Linked DNA regions of Arabidopsis thaliana. The protein of the gene in region 2 purifies or fractionates together with the protein of the main gene of each other region. This does not show direct contact. Each region holds a gene or a part of one and is shown on either strand. Other genes may lie near its edges. The genes, in order: AT1G48610 and AT5G59330.

What was found.
Region 1: the proteins of AT5G59330 (region 2) and AT1G48610 fractionate together in Arabidopsis thaliana (co-fractionation; one large-scale study listed by BioGRID). This does not show direct contact.

What each region holds. Positions count from the first base shown.
Region 1 is NC_003070.9:17,971,767-17,975,693, reverse strand, and holds the start of AT1G48610 (AT hook motif-containing protein), read left to right. Parts: upstream 1-2,291; 5' UTR 2,292-2,613; intron 2,614-2,890; 5' UTR 2,891-2,895; coding exon 2,896-3,384; intron 3,385-3,927. Other genes in the region: HON5 (high mobility group A5), read left to right, coding at 1-611, 1,148-1,222, 1,316-1,546. UniProt on the Arabidopsis thaliana protein: May bind DNA.
Region 2 is NC_003076.8:23,929,252-23,932,836, reverse strand, and holds AT5G59330 (Bifunctional inhibitor/lipid-transfer protein/seed storage 2S albumin superfamily protein), read right to left. Parts: upstream 1,524-3,585; 5' UTR 1,424-1,523; coding exon 1,160-1,423; 3' UTR 1,106-1,159; intron 958-1,105; 3' UTR 766-957; downstream 1-765. Other genes in the region: LTP3 (lipid transfer protein 3), read right to left, coding at 3,345-3,354, 3,449-3,585.

The DNA.
Region 1 (3,927 bases), on a different chromosome or scaffold from region 2:
CGGTTTTGGCTTCTTCTACTCCTCAGACTATTAAACGTGGTCGTGGTCGACCTCCAAAAGCTAAACCAGATGTTGTTCAACCTCAACCTCTGACTAATGGAAAACTCACCTGGGAACAGAGTGAATTACCTGTCTCTCGACCAGAGGAGATACAGATACAGCCGCCACAGTTACCGTTACAGCCACAGCAGCCGGTTAAGAGACCGCCGGGTCGTCCTAGAAAAGATGGAACTTCGCCGACGGTGAAGCCAGCTGCTTCTGTTTCCGGTGGTGTGGAGACTGTGAAACGAAGAGGTAGACCTCCGAGTGGAAGAGCTGCTGGGAGGGAGAGAAAGCCTATAGTAGTCTCAGCTCCAGCTTCAGTGTTCCCGTATGTTGCTAATGGTGGTGTTAGACGCCGAGGGAGACCAAAGAGAGTTGACGCTGGTGGTGCTTCCTCTGTTGCTCCACCACCACCACCACCAACTAACGTAGAGAGTGGAGGAGAGGAGGTTGCAGTCAAGAAACGAGGAAGAGGACGGCCTCCTAAGATTGGAGGTGTTATCAGGAAGCCTATGAAGCCGATGAGAAGCTTTGCTCGTACTGGAAAACCCGTAGGAAGACCCAGAAAGGTAAAATATCATTCCTTTTTGTCTCTGCGATTACACAGTGATTATAGAGAACTTGAATATTTCTAGTCAAATAGATAAGAGAATAAAAGTTGGAACTTTTGTCTTGTGAATAAATGTCACTTTCCATTCTCAACATTGTCTCTTTCGAGCGTGTGTGTGGAGACTAGAGAGTATCTAACTAAATAAATTCTAGAGTTTAATTTATATTCGTGTCTCTGCTTTTGGCCTATACTTAATCTGGTTTTGTGGTGTACTATTAATCTAAGATATCTCTTTGTTTGGTAATCAAGAGCAACTTGGTAGGTGGCTCGCTTTAGCAACCAATAATTGTTCAGTTGAAGTGTGAGAATTACATATGAACTTATCTTTTGAGACAGACATCTTATCAAGTTTTGTCTGTTTTAAGCAGAAATTTAGTTAATTCAGTCAAAGTTCAAGAGTTTGTGTATTTCCAAGTCCACTAGAATTTCTTTGTCTATTATATTGATGAGTTAGTTATCTAATTACATTTATATTATTGCCATTTATAAACATAGAATGCGGTGTCAGTGGGAGCTTCTGGACGACAAGATGGTGACTATGGAGAACTGAAGAAGAAGTTTGAGTTGTTTGTAAGTAATCTAATGAACAGAAACACAATATGGTCCGTCCTTGGTTTTGATACTTAATTGCTTATGCTTGGTTTTGATATCTCATTTATGCAGCAAGCGAGAGCTAAGGATATTGTAATTGTGTTGAAATCCGAGATAGGAGGAAGTGGAAATCAAGCAGTGGTTCAAGCCATACAGGACCTGGAAGGGATAGCAGAGACAACAAACGAGCCAAAGCACATGGAAGAAGTGCAGCTGCCAGACGAGGAACACCTTGAAACCGAACCAGAAGCAGAGGGTCAAGGACAGACAGAAGCAGAGGCAATGCAAGAAGCTCTGTTCTAAAGATAAAGCCTTGACATAAAAAGCTAGCAAGTGGTGGGTTTACTTGTTGTGTGTTACATGAAATTTTTAATCTTATAAGGGTGTTTGCAGGAGAAAAACAAAAAGAACAATGTGATGAACTGATGATGATGATTGTGTCTCTAACCAAACAACAAGGAGAGGTAGGGTAATGTCTGTAAAGTGAATTAGGATGTTACCATTGTTCATGCTTCCCATCTCTCTCCATCGTCCATATCTGTGTAGGCAGCTTTGTTCTTTGTTCCCTCGTGTTTTTTTTAGACTGTTGTGTCTCTTATTCTATTTTGTCTCCTTAGGCTTTTTAGGAGTTGTTGTTGATGTTTATCAAAAACGCTTATGTAATTTTTATGACCACTTCTACTTTTTATGATGGTTTCTTCAAGTCTCTTACGTTATGTAGTTAGAAAACCATTAAATAAAAGTTGCTTATGTCAGTTGCTCTGTTTTAATTTGAAATCCGGTTTTAATTTTAAGTGTACTTATTGCAGAAATTAGGTAGAAGGTATAGAACGGTTTTACTCTTCACTCACACACCATTTAACCAAATTTCTAAATTTATTACTCGATAAACACTTTTTTAACAAGTTTTCAATACTTTTCTCCAAAAAAATTTTGAATTTGAAATAAAGTAGTGTATTTTTCGATTTTGGTTTTATAAATCAACTTTTTTTTTTGAAAAAGTTAAAAAGAAATCACCACCACATTTGCATGTTATACTATAATACCAAAAAATTAATATTCGTGATTTATTTTAAAAATCTGTGAATTAAAAAGAAAAATGAAATGTTGATAAATAAAAATAAAAACAAGGAGTAAAGGTGGACCCATATCGGTTGACGCAACTGATTCTGAACCTCTCGGTCGTTCGTTTCTACTCTTTCCAAGCTCTAGCCCATGGTGGTGACCTTCTTCTTCTAACCGCGAAAACCATCTCTATCTCTCTTATCTTTCTTCTCCGCCAAGTTTCTCTTTGTAATTTCTTTCTTCTTCCTCCAGATTCTTCAAGCTTCCTTTACCATCTCGCGAATCCTTCTATTAAGTTGAACAAGGTACGTACATTGCGATTTGCGAACCCTAGTTTTTCTCAAAACGAAATCTCTACGCGTGAGAGCCTGAATCTGTGTTTTACAGTCTTCGTTTCTAGATTCTAGGTTTGTGACATTTGAAATTTCGTTAAGGTTTTAGCGAAATCGAGTTTCTGGTTGTTTAGTTTAAGTCTAGTCTCCGTTGATGTCCGTTTTTGCTAGGGTTTTGATTCCGATTAACCGCCGTTTTCTCACATTTTGCTTTCTCTTTTTTTTTTTTTTTTCTGATTCGCATCTACAGATCTCATGGCGAAAACAGCTCTTACTCCTCCCGCGTCTGGTTCCGAAGTTCCAAGATCCGGTACACCTGGAGATGCGTCTGGCAACAAACCTCAAACGGATGCCACCGGCGTCTCAGCTACTGATACTGCTTCTCAGAAACGCGGTCGTGGTCGACCGCCAAAGGCTAAATCTGACTCTTCCCAAATCGGTGCCGTTTCTGCGAAGGCGAGTACTAAACCAAGTGGTCGTCCGAAAAGAAACGTAGCTCAGGCTGTTCCTTCTACGTCTGTGGCGGCGGCTGTGAAGAAACGTGGTAGGGCAAAGAGGTCGACTGTAACGGCGGCTGTGGTTACTACTGCTACTGGAGAGGGTTCTAGAAAACGAGGGAGGCCAAAGAAAGATGACGTGGCGGCTGCAACTGTTCCAGCAGAAACTGTGGTGGCTCCAGCTAAGAGACGTGGAAGGAAACCTACTGTCGAAGTAGCTGCACAGCCTGTGCGCAGGACTAGGAAGGTATGTTTCTCTTTAATTTCATTATCTTTATTCACAAAATGTCAAAAGAAATTTAGAAATGGTCTGATACCAATTATATGATTGTTCTTGACTGTTTGTTCTGTATAGTGTGGAAATAATTCAGGGTAATGTCTTATTTGACTCTGGTCTCAAATGTGGTCTACTTTTAGGATTGCAGTATCTGAAATTCCCCGTATTTTTAGAAAAATGTGTATCTTATCTGGATTTTGGTGTATTTTGGGAAAATGTCTTATTTAATATTGTTCTTCTTGACTGTTTCTTCTGCATATAGTAGATAAAGTTCAGAGTAATGTCTTTATTTGTCTCAAATGTGGTCTATTGTGAGTGTGAAGTATCTGATATTATTCGTAATTTCTTTGAAAAGATGTGCATCTTATCTGGATTTTGGTGTATTTCATTAAATCTTTTTTTGTATAATGTGGAAGTGAAAGTGATTGGTCTATTTGGTAAGAAGTTATCATGTAATTTGAGTCCAAATAAATTTCACAAGTGTTTAGTTCATGTTAGACATAACAATGCTTA
Region 2 (3,585 bases):
TTTGCTCTCCGTATGCGAATAAATATATTTATGGTTCCAAAAAGGCAAAGACTATGCATTTAACAGAAAATTATCGAGTGTGTTATATTGTTCTTTTTCTTATCTTACTATTGAATGTTCGATTTATAGGTATAAATAAACTTGTATGTTTATATGCATATAAAGTCATGAAAATCAACTAGTTTCACCCTCGGAAAGAAACAGTGCCATTGGCTGATTTGGAAGCTCTGGAAATCCAGAAATAAAGTCATATCAAAGGAAAGGATTTCAATGTGCGTTGGACGAAGATGCAGAAAAGTGGGGCAATTGAAGAGAACAAAATGAACATAGGAGAACTCAAGCTGGAGCATGAAATACATGTATCAAATGGAACCATCCTCCACCAGAATGGATCAAATGTAAACATGTAATACATATGGTGCTTGGCAAGGACAAGGAAATCAGAGTGGAGTTGGGTGGGTTATCCGATCCGAAATCACCAAGGGTCAGGGTTATGGATGGGAGAAGAGACCTTATAAAGCAAATTCTATTTGTTAATGACGCGTTAAGAATATATTCAAATTGATTTCCATTTTTTATGATGAGGTGGTGAATGGAAGTTTATAGATGCAAGTTGATACAAGTTGATTTTCCACTTTTGTAAAAACTTAAAATGATACAAGTTGATTTTCACCATTTCAGAAGGCTCAGATCCGTGATCTTTTGTTAGAGAACTTGTCACTAAGAGTGTTGCGAACAAAGGCGTTGGAAAAATATACAAGAAAAGAGGATTAATTAAGGTGTTATTATTATCTTTAACATGATAAGTTACAATTCAGAACAACCAAAAGATTACAAAGCCACAAGAAAAAGGCACGGTGAGATCAGCGTACGTACATAGACATTTTATTTTACTTATGTTAAAACCATAATCTGATTATACATATATATATAATTAAGCTCCAACTTCACTCGACGCTGCAACAATAAAAACAATCAAAACGTATACCTTACCAAATAATAAAAATTATATCATGGTGTTTAGTTAGAATGAGTACTTAAGTTAATTAGAAAGAAAAAGAGAGGAGACTAACTATATATGTACAACAATTAAAAAAAAGCTTACTTGTCGCAGTTAGTGCTCAAGGAAATGGGATAGGGAATGCTAACACCGCACTCTTCAGGAAGACCAGAGGCTAGACTTGGGTTGAGACCAGAAATGCCCTTTGCAATGGACTGTAGGCATCGGCATGGTTTGAGCCACACCGTTCAACTTTTCAACTCCTTCACAACACAGATCCGGTACCACACCACCTTTTGAAAGGTAGTTGGCACATGGAGCCAAGTTACTTACCACTGTGCCACATGAGATTTCTGCATCTACTGATGAAACTATGCACACCGTCAAAACGAAGCATATGAAGAACCTGAGAGCCAAAGCCATTGTGTTTGCTCTATTTTGTTTTGGTTATTACAAACAAAAGTAGAGGTTTAGTTAAGTCTTGTTTTCTAATTAAGCTTGTGTTTTGCTATTGGATGTGAGAAAAGTGGGAGGTGATGATGGTTTTAAATAGGGATTTTAGATGGAAAAAATGGTGACTAAGTATAGGGTTTGTTAGAAGTTAGATACGCATTTACTTTATTCTTGTTTCTTCCACTAACGAGAAAGAATGTTTTGCTATAGTCAAATGTAAACAATAGTACGTATCTTACTTTTATTTTTTATACTTTTATTTTGTATATTTTCGTATTTTAAGATATCATACTTTTGAGCGATTCAGAAGATTTGAATAGTAATACTGATAACATGCTTTGCTAAACATACGTTAGCAAAGCATAACTAATCTTCGATATCGTACATATATAATCAATAGTTTGCTAGCTATGTGTACGGACTATTTCAGTACCGTTCATATTTCAATTCAATGCAATGAGAAACTAAGGAACATATCTAAGTGTATCCTCCACCAATTTAATTTGTTTTTAGCTATGAGTACTATATCTAAATTGATCTATATATTTATCAGTTACTATGTACATTAACTTTTTGTCGTCTATATCTTTATTTATTTTAAGATATATGTTTTGATTCAAAGCAAGGTCATCACTGTGCATATTTTTCTCTTAAAAAGTTAACAGTTAAAAGGATGGAGATGGCGGTTACTGGTTAGAAATCGGAGATTTAATTATGCCAAATCTCAATTACCGTCCAATTAGTGCAATGTATAACTGAGGGACACGTGTATCCAACATCAAACATGACAAATTGACAACTCTCCCAACCAGCTTATTTGAAGAATAAACCAGGAGCAGAGTTTAATATGTAAGTCCGGTTATCGGAGTCCTTAAAATTAAACCAAGCTGGTTTTGGAAATTGAGCAATATATGGTTTCAATAAGTTGAAGATTCTGGGCCTTTAACGGACCTGATGAAAGCCCAACGCACATTACGGGTTTGAGTCAATGACTATGACTTGAATGTCCTAAAGGCTAAGCTCCAAATGTTGACCAAATCAGGAGATCAATTCTGACAATTTTTCACTAGCAACCATACTTTGAAAAATGCTATCTGATTTGAGAGTATCAGATGCGGTATAATGGGCTTAACCGCTTAAGTCGCTGACGAGGAACTTGAGATGGCTTTGCGTTATTGCGTAGTAAGGTATTACAACACGATATTGGACGAAATTTTGCATGACATTAGTAACTTGACGCAAACGCAGAGTTGATAAAATTTGCATGACATTAGTAACGATTTTGTCCAAAAAAAAAAAAAAAAAATTTTTTTTTTTCTTCGATGCATAATCAAATCGTGAAGATTGATAACATTGTTCTTAGATTAAAAAAAACAATGTTGTTAGGTGTTTGTTATTTAATTAGGATTATTACTTTTGTTATTTAATTAGGTTGGTCAACGTAAAGTTTTATTTTTTCGGATAATGGTAAAATTTCTATTGCAGATGCAGCAGCTTTTACTTTATCAGTATGGATGAGAGATTTATTTTTTTGGGTTAAAGGAGAAAAATCATTGAGCATGTCTTCTTCGTATAAATATCAATTTTATAAATAATGTCACTCCAAAACTAGGAACTTAATATTATTGGTTACTTAATAGTTATAAAACTCTTCACATATTATTATTACGTTCGTATGCGTTGGAGGAGATATCTAGAAAGAAGATGACTAATAAGGTACTATTATCATAGTTTTAGCACATCAATACAACATATGATATGAAAATAAGACAAAGCATTGAGACAAAAACAAATACATGGTAATATCAGCTAAGATATATAGCCGTATTTTATTCTAGTACTTCTGGTAAACCATACTCTTAACGCCAAAACGACGACGTAAGCTTCCATTTCACTTGATGCTGCAACAATCCAAACGATCAAGAGAACACATTTTGTCATTAGAAAAAATAATTCATGGTCTCTAGATCAAGTAAAACAAAACTAAATACTTACTTGTTGCAGTTAGTGCTCATGGAGATTGGATATGGAATGCTAACACCGCACTTTCCAGGAAGGCCAGAGGCTAGACTTGGGTTGAGACCAGAAATGCTCTTCGCAGTGGACTGGATGCATCTGCAAGCTTGTTGGCG